Linked DNA regions of Saccharomyces cerevisiae S288C. The gene in region 2 interacts genetically with the main gene of each other region. Each region holds a gene or a part of one and is shown on either strand. Other genes may lie near its edges. The genes, in order: ADE2, YDL241W, ICS2 and TCA17.

Region 1 (3,973 bases), on a different chromosome or scaffold from region 2:
AAATTCCACCTAATATAGCACTAAAAGATGAATATATCATGTTTTATAAAGATTTTTTCATTTTCCCGGAGTTCTTTGATTATTTTACACTGCATAGTATTGAACTATTGTCTAACTTGGATAATTGTTTATTTAGCTTAGGAAACACATGCCAGTTATTTTCCACAGAGCAAATATATTCCCAATTAAGCCAAATATTGGACATTGTTAAAGAGCTGTTTCGCATGGTATCGGTAAGCAGGACAAACATTGAGAAGTTTTTAAACGCTTGTTTGAACTATTCTCCGTTCAAAATATTACCCACAGCTCAGTTACACGGTGATAATATTTCTAGGTGGAGTTTTGAAAGCGAAGTGCGTCAGGGTTTCGATAATTTTAACAGCTATATGGGCATCGAAAAAGATCCCCACGGTGTTATAGTATCAGCAATAGATCTTTTTACTCAAATTTACAGTTTTGATATCTTGGCGTTTTTCCTCACATTTATTACAAAAGAAAGTGGGCAGGATTTGCCCTTCACAAAATCTCTGTCCAGGAGAAGAACGTATTTGACCAGAATTGCTCAATCTTCTTCATTGAGACAGTTTTTACAACTGAGTACACGCCCTAATATAAGGATTCTGGGAGGTAATGGGCAGGGTACTGGAAATTCCAATTATCCCGAATTTACAAACGCATCCTCAGTCATCTCACCCAAGCTAAGGGCTTCTCCTCTACTAGAAAGAAGGGCGTCAAAAATCTGCTATGCTATTACGAAATTACTCTATAGGTTAGAATGTCATCCCATAGGTATGGCCCTTTTAAAGAAGTATCTCCACAATCAATTGCGAGAAGCCTATCTAGAATCAAAACGACACTTTATTTCCAAAAAGGGAGATTCGACCAACACTTCCTCTACCATTGCATCATCATCTTTCGCTGGCGCATCTGTTCCTCTATCTTCAAACGAATCAGGAATGCTAAACGGCTTGAAGCAAATTAACGAACAACAAGAATCTACATTAGAAACCACTCAAAAGGAAGACTAGTAACGCCGTATCGTGATTAACGTATTACATAAGTTACAGGATTCATGCTTATGGGTTAGCTATTTCGCCCAATGTGTCCATCTGACATTACTATTTTGCATTTTAATTTAATTAGAACTTGACTAGCGCACTACCAGTATATCATCTCATTTCCGTAAATACCAAATGTATTATATATTGAAAGCTTTTGACCAGGTTATTATAAAAGAAACTTCATGCTCGAAAAAGATCATTTCGAAAAGTTGCCTAGTTTCATGAAATTTTAAAGCAGTTTATATAAATTTTACCTTTTGATGCGGAATTGACTTTTTCTTGAATAATACATAACTTTTCTTAAAAGAATCAAAGACAGATAAAATTTAAGAGATATTAAATATTAGTGAGAAGCCGAGAATTTTGTAACACCAACATAACACTGACATCTTTAACAACTTTTAATTATGATACATTTCTTACGTCATGATTGATTATTACAGCTATGCTGACAAATGACTCTTGTTGCATGGCTACGAACCGGGTAATACTAAGTGATTGACTCTTGCTGACCTTTTATTAAGAACTAAATGGACAATATTATGGAGCATTTCATGTATAAATTGGTGCGTAAAATCGTTGGATCTCTCTTCTAAGTACATCCTACTATAACAATCAAGAAAAACAAGAAAATCGGACAAAACAATCAAGTATGGATTCTAGAACAGTTGGTATATTAGGAGGGGGACAATTGGGACGTATGATTGTTGAGGCAGCAAACAGGCTCAACATTAAGACGGTAATACTAGATGCTGAAAATTCTCCTGCCAAACAAATAAGCAACTCCAATGACCACGTTAATGGCTCCTTTTCCAATCCTCTTGATATCGAAAAACTAGCTGAAAAATGTGATGTGCTAACGATTGAGATTGAGCATGTTGATGTTCCTACACTAAAGAATCTTCAAGTAAAACATCCCAAATTAAAAATTTACCCTTCTCCAGAAACAATCAGATTGATACAAGACAAATATATTCAAAAAGAGCATTTAATCAAAAATGGTATAGCAGTTACCCAAAGTGTTCCTGTGGAACAAGCCAGTGAGACGTCCCTATTGAATGTTGGAAGAGATTTGGGTTTTCCATTCGTCTTGAAGTCGAGGACTTTGGCATACGATGGAAGAGGTAACTTCGTTGTAAAGAATAAGGAAATGATTCCGGAAGCTTTGGAAGTACTGAAGGATCGTCCTTTGTACGCCGAAAAATGGGCACCATTTACTAAAGAATTAGCAGTCATGATTGTGAGATCTGTTAACGGTTTAGTGTTTTCTTACCCAATTGTAGAGACTATCCACAAGGACAATATTTGTGACTTATGTTATGCGCCTGCTAGAGTTCCGGACTCCGTTCAACTTAAGGCGAAGTTGTTGGCAGAAAATGCAATCAAATCTTTTCCCGGTTGTGGTATATTTGGTGTGGAAATGTTCTATTTAGAAACAGGGGAATTGCTTATTAACGAAATTGCCCCAAGGCCTCACAACTCTGGACATTATACCATTGATGCTTGCGTCACTTCTCAATTTGAAGCTCATTTGAGATCAATATTGGATTTGCCAATGCCAAAGAATTTCACATCTTTCTCCACCATTACAACGAACGCCATTATGCTAAATGTTCTTGGAGACAAACATACAAAAGATAAAGAGCTAGAAACTTGCGAAAGAGCATTGGCGACTCCAGGTTCCTCAGTGTACTTATATGGAAAAGAGTCTAGACCTAACAGAAAAGTAGGTCACATAAATATTATTGCCTCCAGTATGGCGGAATGTGAACAAAGGCTGAACTACATTACAGGTAGAACTGATATTCCAATCAAAATCTCTGTCGCTCAAAAGTTGGACTTGGAAGCAATGGTCAAACCATTGGTTGGAATCATCATGGGATCAGACTCTGACTTGCCGGTAATGTCTGCCGCATGTGCGGTTTTAAAAGATTTTGGCGTTCCATTTGAAGTGACAATAGTCTCTGCTCATAGAACTCCACATAGGATGTCAGCATATGCTATTTCCGCAAGCAAGCGTGGAATTAAAACAATTATCGCTGGAGCTGGTGGGGCTGCTCACTTGCCAGGTATGGTGGCTGCAATGACACCACTTCCTGTCATCGGTGTGCCCGTAAAAGGTTCTTGTCTAGATGGAGTAGATTCTTTACATTCAATTGTGCAAATGCCTAGAGGTGTTCCAGTAGCTACCGTCGCTATTAATAATAGTACGAACGCTGCGCTGTTGGCTGTCAGACTGCTTGGCGCTTATGATTCAAGTTATACAACGAAAATGGAACAGTTTTTATTAAAGCAAGAAGAAGAAGTTCTTGTCAAAGCACAAAAGTTAGAAACTGTCGGTTACGAAGCTTATCTAGAAAACAAGTAATATATAAGTTTATTGATATACTTGTACAGCAAATAATTATAAAATGATATACCTATTTTTTAGGCTTTGTTATGATTACATCAAATGTGGACTTCATACATAGAAATCAACGCTTACAGGTGTCCTTTTTTAAGAATTTCATACATAAGATCACTTATTATACATACATACATATCCAGTAACAAGAAGCAAGGAATAATTACCTGCTTAAGTCTGCGATTAAAAAAATAACGTTTCGATACAGTTCATATAAGGCGGCTCAATGCAGAACCGAGGATAGCGCTACGTCAGGATATCTTTGTAGTTCCCAAATATAAATGCGACAATATAGTTTCTTTCTTTCATATCAATAATATCCTTTTCTCCACTGAAATCACGAATCAAACCTGGAGCAAAAACTAAAGCCAAATTATAAAGCGTCATTCGATTCCAGTGACTGTACCGTGTAACCTTTTCTATATGTTCACTCAGTACTCTTAACACCCTATAATGTTCCCTTGGAAGGTCTTCCAATATGTTTTTTAAAGCGCTCTTGCTCGACATA
Region 2 (2,671 bases):
GTGCAACTTAGTTGGGTCTTGGAACGAGGTCTGCTTACTAATTTTATGTTGACGGTTGAAAGCGGATTTTAAAACGTATGAATTTAGAAGAGAGCCAATCAAATAGGGGTACGCTTAATATTAAAAAAATATTAGTAATTGTTTGTATGACGAATAAAATTTGTAAGCACCTGATCCAATCCTTATTATTGAGCAAGAGACGTCTTGTTTCTGTACTCTTTGATAACTATCAAGGCGACATGAAACTAAGGTCATCTCCATCTGCCATTCCTCTAGTTCCGTCAACGAAAATTCTTCAAGCTATGGAGGCCCGGAACGACATTGTTGACAGTCTGATCATCAATAGTCACGCAACGGAAAGTGATCGCCGGACTTTAGGAGACCATGAGGTTAGACAATGTGAGGATACCAACTTCGGCTTCAAAATTTGATACAGGTTAATTTTGAAGGCAACATTTAGGTTCGGCCTTATTTAAAAAAACCTTCAGGTACGCGTTCAAGATCCCATTTTAAAGGTATAGGCAGATTGCACTATTTTACCGGCAAATGTGCGAATATCGAAACTGGAAGATGTTTTCAAGAAAATTGATTTAAGATCCATTTGTCGTGTTTAGAGTTCTCATTGTTCTGGTCAATGATTTCAAACTCAAAAGGCACAAGAAACTTACAAAATTTGTTTCTTATGAACATTACGCCATGTTCTTTGCGAGCATGTGCTATACAGTCTTGCTAGAAAATGGCCCTATAATTAGAAAGCTCAAAAAATAACCCAATGCTGCATCGATTTTTGGAGAAAGGGGGTCAATCATCATCTATCTTCATAAATAACGAGTTGCAGAAAAATTGGAAACTGGTTGATTTTGAAAAGTTTTCATTTTTCTGGCAACAAATTATAGCTACAAAAAAAGAAGTTATGGCGCATAAGATGCATCAATATATGGTGTGACCAGATTGGACGTAACTAGTACTCATGTTATTATTCATATCCTTCATTTTTCCTTCTTTTCTTCTCCTTCTCGAACAGTAACTTCAGATTGAAAGACGTGAGGATGCTTTAGAATGCACATTAAAATTAATATACTACTGGCCTCTTGTGTTTGTCATTGGCTTCTATTTTCAATAAAACATCCAGACAACCCTGCTGTTAATTTTGGAAAAAAAATTTCGCCGATTCTAATCATGTGACTCCTTTTCCCCAGGCAATACCGGAGAAAGCGTTCTATCTCAAACTATATAATTTGCGCTGCTCGTCTCCAAGCCCATGCTAGTGTTTACTTTCGGTTGTAAAAGGTAACTAGAAGTTTTAACGCAAGCATTGTATTATATTTTCCCACAATTGCTCTTAAGGACCTTTTTTTTTCTTGCGTGATCCTGCACTATTGAAAAGTCTTTATCAAAAATAGATGAAACTTTTTCAGGGTTCAACATTTAGAGGCTTTTCTCATATTCTTTACTCAGTTGCCTGCGAAGACCCTTCTGCCCGCTGCGCATTTTCTTAGAAAATCAAAAAAATTGCCTTTTCATCTTTTACCTTCCGAGTTGAATATGTTGACTATTTGCAAACAGGCGTATGATTGTCGTATATAACAGGGCACTTTCGGCAGTGAATCAATAGGAGGCGTATAAGAAAAGCCAATTAGTACCTATATATATATATATATATATATATATATATATATATTCCTTTATTATAATTCCTATCAGCGATTTTTGCATCACACCCAAGAAAAATCTATAATAGAGACACAAAAAAATGAACGTAACTGAAAATGCTCTATTGTTTAAGTGCGGTAGCAAGGGCTATATTAATCAAACCTATACGCCGACAGAAATTTATAATTGTGGGGTAGCTGAAGGAAAGAAAACTGCTAAAGAAAAGAACCCAACTTATTCAATTTTTTATGATACATTTCTCACTGGGCAGCCTGCTGAAAGTCCTGAAACGTTTACGTGTGGTTCGCATGGCTTCACAAATGCGAGTTATGTGGCAAGCGACTTTTATGCATGTGGTTTTCTGCAAGGGAAAGGTACAGAAACCAATGCGGGAATACATAATACAAGGCCTTCTCATTCTCTCGCCAAATTTACCATACTGTTCATGCTAGTGTTGTATACAATTGTCTAATTCTCAAGGTATGACACTTTGGATTGGTGGTCGCAGTAGCCACCATATAATTTTTTATCGTTTCTACATATAATACGAGACAGTCAGACAGAACTTTGGGTCGCCTGAGAAGAAAGACTATAAAAATGTAACCCGTCAGTAGGACTCATCTTAAAACAGTGGGTAATTTACTAAGGAGGCTGGAAAAACTGCGATAATCGGCTTATAGTACATATATATAGAATAATCATTAATCGAGCCTTTACCGCGAAATTCATGGATTTCTCAAAAACAAAGGTGCAATTACATGTTAAGCACCGAATTTCTATGCGAAACAGGTCCGTCTCATCAGTCATAGCTTTCCAAGTATATAAAACTTGAACGCAAAAGTGCGTCATCGACGCCTTTTTTTGCGCAAGGATTGTTACTATTCATTTAATGAACTCTGATGTCTTAATAAGCCAATGGTATCCATAAGTGAAGGTGAAGTCTACTGTGTTACATTAGCAAGTCAGAACTCCTATACGATACAGTATACTGCATTATGGGCACTAAAATAATTTAGAT
Region 3 (3,254 bases), on a different chromosome or scaffold from region 2:
TTATGCGTATTTTCGGGGCTAATTAAAGACTCTTCCATCTTTTTGTCTTCATACTTGAGTGTATTCATATAAACATTATTTCTTAACCATTCACTACTTTCGTACAATCGTTGATTTATTTCTGAATGTGCATCTGTTGTTAGATTATTTAGATCATCGAGGGTTTCTATGATTGAACGGGTAGAGCCTGGCTTCCTTTGAGTTTTCTTCCTAGCTGCTTTGATTGCCCAGTCCATTGTTTAAATCTTCGGGCTCTTTCAAAGTCCGTCAGTTGAGGAGATACTTTGAAACGTTTTGTTTGTATCATTGGCAATACTTGAAACGAGTTTTTGTTTGTTTTCTTTTTTTAGTTAATTCGCGAAATTTAAAATATGAAGATCGGTTTCAGAACAGAATGGATCAGGCTTTTCCGCGTATAAGAAATAATAACACTGACATAACGCTATAACGAAACAGCGTAACAAAATACTCTTTACATGGTTTATTTTTATATATTCATTTAACATTATCAAAACTAACATTAAGTCCTTTATTTATCAAAACAAACGAAAAAAAAAAATGCGAGACAAATGATCCAGTCATTTATTGTCAATATCTAAGTCAATTAGTGGTTGCAATATGTCTCCAGTTTCCACTTTATGAGCAAAAATTTTGCCCTCAATATTTATCTGATTTTTTTCAGCGAATTCTTTCAAACTCCCGAATCTACCGCTTGCGTTTCTTCTTAATTGTTCATTGGTATTCATGATTGTGTTTTTCGGGGACATTTGGTGGGTATATGAAGTATCCGGTGAAGAATGATATTCTTTGTCCAAGAAAGAACTTGCCAATGAAGTTTTTCTTGAATTGACGCCTATGCTTGAATTAGAATCGTACCCGTCAATGAAATTTGGCTTACAAGACCTGCTGAATGAGATTGCATGACTTTTTCTGTGGTAACTTTTCCTTCGCCCTGAAGGCTTTGTAAGTTCGTGTGATAATGAACGTGAATGCGAATGTGATGATAATTCATTACTTTCTACCCTTAAAGGTGATACCGCATTAGGCTTTCTTGGACATATGGAGGAATTTCTCCTCGTTTTCACACCATCCTTGTCTCCAGGGAAAGAGTAGGTCTTCAGCTTGTTGAACAGAGCTTCGCCTTGAGACTCTTCAAAATAAAAGCTCTTTTCGTACTCATGGGGTTGTTTGCTGCTATCGAACTGAGATTCTGTTGAAGAGAGAGAGCTGAAACGTCCATAGAGTGGGCTGCCAAGTGATTTAATGGATGTACTAGATTGACTGCCCGTAGTAGGAAAACTAAATGTGCTTATTCTTTCTCTTTCTTTTTGCTCAAATTTGCCCATATCTTGCTGGAAAGGGAAACTTCAGTGAAGTAATAACGAAGGTGGTGTAGAGTATAAATTTTTATTAAGTATGCGCTTTGACGTTCACATATTTGTAAAAGATTTATTTGAGAAGATAGAATGGGTCTCATTTATTTATACTTAAATGCTTCTTTGGATGTCAAGCTTTCTTGATGCCGGACTTGCAGTCGAAGGGCTCTTTCCCAACAGATATGTAACCAAATGCGTCGAATAGAAAAAGAAAGTCTTCCAAGGAAAGTTTATTACGAGGGGTTTTGTGCATTAACGTGGCATATAATTAGGTATAAACTCAAGGTTGGCTTAAGATTAGCGAAACAAAAGTATAAACGACCCAAAATTGGAGTGGATGTGTTCTTTAACACATAAACTGTCGTACAAAAAAAAAAGAAACAAAGAGCAGTTGAAAGAACATCAAGATCATAAGGACCCCCATATCGTGATAATCATTGATGACCAAATCGTGAACTCCCTGCGCCTATGCCGTGCCATAGCAAATAAAGTACTGGGCTGGATTGTTAATGACTTGCATATTAACGACAGGTAAACGGTACCCTATTTTTCTTTTTTACGTGCTACGGACGAAAAGTGAGGGTGATTAACGCTTCAAATAAGAAACGACGGCTAGCAGGGTCTAGATGCGTGAGATGAGATAAGGAAAAGAGCTCTGTGTCCCAGGTAATAATCCCTGGAGAGATATAATCTTCCCTACAACTTGATTGCATATTAACGCTCCCAAGTTGTGGCCATTGAAGAGCTCTACAGCAATGTCCCGACGAACGGAAATAACCCTCTTTTTCATGATATTTTCGGAGTTATCTCCACTGTCAACAACTATTCTCGAATATAACAGAATGAAAGGGATCACGTACGCTTGTTATATTGCTGTCGTTCTCCGTTCGCAATCCCATTATATGCGAGGGGCAAAAGAAGAGACGGCCGGTAACTCATTTTTTGGTGTGTGAGAATTGCGGAAGCTTCGTTCTCCCACCTTTTTTCGCTGTGTTTTTCTTGTCCTCAGCACCGGCTGGTCAAGCCGGTGCTGAACGGCCGGAGAGAAATATAAACGGATGAAAACGTGTTAATAATTGCATCAGTAGTAGGTGGCGGGGTTGTCTCATTTTTGTTATGGCGTAAGGTGAAAAATTGTAAAGGATTGGTTCGGTTGGGTTGGCGACAATTAATTATGGGATAAAAAATTGCTTAATCTTTATTGGAGCAATTACCTGCATAGGCACTCATAGGCCACAAGGGTTTGATGGCGGAAGGATGTTATACCTACGATACTACCATACATGTGATATGTCACTTTCTAGTCCGAAGCGTGGAACATATTATCTTGTTTGACGTTGTGGGTGTTAACCGTAATTGTCTGGGTACGCCGAAGGCACGGAGACCATGTTAAAATATGTTTCTCTTTTTTGCTCATTTTTTTCTATTTTTTGCTGCGCATTGCCCGAAGCTTTTCTTAGTGGTAGTCTGCTCTCGCGCTCTTTGTTACACTCGCAAAATTTTTTTGCTGGGCAAAATAAAGCACTCTCCGGCCATTACTGGCTGTCGTCCGCCAGGATTTTCATTAACTTGCAGAAGTAAACAAACAAAACACAATTATGACACCGTGGAAGTTTCCTAAATGGTAACAAAAAGCTTAATTGAAAGAAAGAATTTCCTTCAACTTCGGTTTCCTGGTTCCGCTATTTCTCGCTTGTTTCTTCTATTGGACTTAGGATGTCTCATCAATCATCTTATTCCTGCTGGTGTTTTTTGTATCGCCTTGCCTTGGAGTGTTTATGCTTGTCCTTTGTTCAGTAACCATTCTTCAAGTTTGTTTCAAGTAGTAGGATACCTTCAGATATACGAAAGAAAGGGAGTATAGTTGTGGATATATAT
Region 4 (2,566 bases), on a different chromosome or scaffold from region 2:
ATCCTCGAAAAGGCTTCCTCGATCGGTGGGAACTCTATCAAGGCCTCCAGTGGTATTAACGGTGCTTGCACCGAGACTCAACGTCACTTCCACATCGAGGACTCCCCACGCTTATTTGAAGATGACACCATCAAGTCTGCTAAAGGTAAAGGTGTCCAAGAATTAATGGCTAAGTTGGCCAATGATTCTCCCCTGGCTATTGAATGGTTGAAAAACGAATTTGATTTGAAATTGGACCTATTGGCTCAATTGGGTGGCCACTCTGTGGCAAGAACTCACAGATCGTCTGGGAAGTTGCCTCCAGGTTTCGAAATTGTTTCTGCCTTATCTAACAATTTGAAGAAATTAGCTGAGACTAAACCAGAGTTAGTTAAGATTAACTTAGACAGTAAAGTCGTAGACATCCATGAAAAGGATGGCTCCATTTCTGCTGTAGTGTACGAGGACAAGAATGGCGAAAAGCACATGGTGAGTGCTAACGATGTCGTTTTTTGTTCTGGAGGGTTTGGCTTTTCTAAGGAAATGCTTAAAGAATACGCACCCGAACTGGTGAACTTGCCAACAACAAACGGGCAACAAACAACTGGTGATGGTCAAAGGCTTCTGCAGAAGTTAGGCGCTGATCTGATTGACATGGACCAAATTCAAGTTCATCCAACTGGGTTCATTGATCCAAATGACCGTAGCTCAAGCTGGAAATTCTTGGCTGCCGAATCCTTAAGAGGTCTTGGTGGTATCCTATTAAACCCTATTACCGGTAGAAGATTTGTCAACGAATTGACCACAAGAGATGTAGTCACTGCAGCTATTCAAAAGGTTTGTCCTCAAGAGGATAACAGAGCACTATTGGTTATGGGCGAAAAAATGTACACAGATTTGAAGAATAATTTAGATTTTTACATGTTCAAGAAACTTGTACAGAAATTGACATTATCTCAAGTTGTTTCTGAATATAATTTACCAATCACTGTCGCCCAATTATGCGAGGAATTGCAAACATACTCTTCCTTCACTACCAAGGCTGATCCGTTGGGACGTACCGTTATTCTCAACGAATTTGGCTCTGACGTTACTCCAGAAACTGTGGTTTTTATTGGTGAAGTAACACCGGTTGTCCATTTCACCATGGGTGGTGCTAGAATCAATGTCAAGGCTCAAGTCATTGGCAAGAACGACGAAAGGCTACTAAAAGGCCTGTACGCGGCCGGTGAAGTTTCTGGCGGTGTTCATGGCGCCAATAGGTTGGGTGGTTCAAGTTTGTTAGAATGCGTTGTCTTTGGGAGAACCGCAGCTGAATCTATTGCCAATGACCGCAAGTAACGAATTTTATAAATGAATCATTTCTAAACGATTTTTTAATAGTATATAAGTAGTATTAATATTATTATTATTTTTTTTTTTTTTTTTTTTTCACTTTCGAAGTTCTGCCGGAAGAGCTCATCGACGGCCAAGAAACATTTTACATAAAAGTTATTGAGTTGAAAATTGAGTAAATATTCTCTCCAAAAATCAAATTGTACGTTTATATCACCAAACTATGAGCTTGAGGCCTTGCTTCGTATCATTGATAGATGAATCTGATAAACCTATATTGATTTACGTCCCTAATGAGGCGGAGAATGAGATGAATGATGTACTCAAATATAACGTGCTTTCTAACATATCGTTAGATTATTTTGAAAGTGCTTTGGTTGAATGGCATTCTTTAGATTCCAAACCTCTTCTGAAGTCAATTTTTCAATTGGAAGGTGTCTCTGTATTTGCTATGTTGATTAAGCAGACGGGCCTGAAGATTGTCATTGGATTTGAACAAAAAAGCCTAAGTGGAGCTGATGATGAATTTGAAGCAATCAATCAGATTTTCGAAACCGTAAGAAAAATCTATATACGTGTCAAATGTAATCCTTTACTTGTTAGCGGTGACGAAAAGTCCATTATAAAAAGCTTGGAAAGAAAATTTGATGAGTTGTTTATTTCAACTGAAGTTGAATTATAAATGATAATTTATTAGTCGATTCTTTCACGAATGAAAGCAAAATTTAATGTCACTGCTTTGGAGTGAGAGCGATTCAGAGAAGTTATTAATGTCTAATATGTCCAACTTGGTGACAGTTTCGCCTTGCCTAATTAGCGGGGATCAGGTGCCGGTAGTATATCTCAGATGACCGTGACAATCAAACTTTCTACTTCATTCAAGTGACTGTCAATTGTCATGCTGTTCATGAATAAATAAGATACGGAGACAATTAAGGCGATCGCTTTGACTCTACTGCTAACGAAAATTGTCCGAATTGAACAGATGTGGAAGCAATCACTATACGTTACTTCATAATGAAGATATTTGTTGGCTTTCCGAGATATAGACTGATCTTTGTCACTTCATATCCGGCACGGCAATTTTTACATGGGATGGCTCGTCATAAAGATACTGCGACCTTTGGAAAGTCTGAAATAAGTGCTAGGTTATGGTTACAACGAGAATTGACAGATATGATGTGATTGTTCACGTATGTACGTATAAAGATATTTATACTACCAAAAAAAAAAAAAGGGTTTTTTTTTATTT

What was found.
Region 1: mutations in YDL241W (region 2) and ADE2 together harm fitness more than expected from each alone (negative genetic interaction), as found in Saccharomyces cerevisiae (one large-scale study listed by BioGRID).
Region 3: mutations in YDL241W (region 2) and ICS2 together harm fitness more than expected from each alone (negative genetic interaction), as found in Saccharomyces cerevisiae (one large-scale study listed by BioGRID).
Region 4: mutations in YDL241W (region 2) and TCA17 together harm fitness more than expected from each alone (negative genetic interaction), as found in Saccharomyces cerevisiae (one large-scale study listed by BioGRID).

What each region holds. Positions count from the first base shown.
Region 1 is NC_001147.6:563,932-567,904, reverse strand, and holds ADE2 (phosphoribosylaminoimidazole carboxylase ADE2), read left to right. Parts: upstream 1-1,713; coding exon 1,714-3,429; downstream 3,430-3,973. Other genes in the region: AFI1 (Afi1p), read left to right, coding at 1-1,028; GTPase-activating protein RGA1, read right to left, coding at 3,712-3,973.
Region 2 is NC_001136.10:18,882-21,552, forward strand, and holds YDL241W (uncharacterized protein), read left to right. Parts: upstream 1-1,753; coding exon 1,754-2,125; downstream 2,126-2,671. Other genes in the region: YDL242W (uncharacterized protein), read left to right, coding at 78-431.
Region 3 is NC_001134.8:552,965-556,218, forward strand, and holds ICS2 (Ics2p), read right to left. Parts: upstream 1,347-3,254; coding exon 579-1,346; downstream 1-578. Other genes in the region: SLI15 (Sli15p), read right to left, coding at 1-236.
Region 4 is NC_001137.3:64,139-66,704, reverse strand, and holds TCA17 (Tca17p), read left to right. Parts: upstream 1-1,537; coding exon 1,538-1,996; downstream 1,997-2,566. Other genes in the region: FRD1 (fumarate reductase), read left to right, coding at 1-1,320. UniProt on the Saccharomyces cerevisiae protein: Required, together with the TRAPP II subunit TRS33, for TRAPP II complex assembly or stability, and for proper Golgi localization of TRAPP and the Rab GTPase YPT31.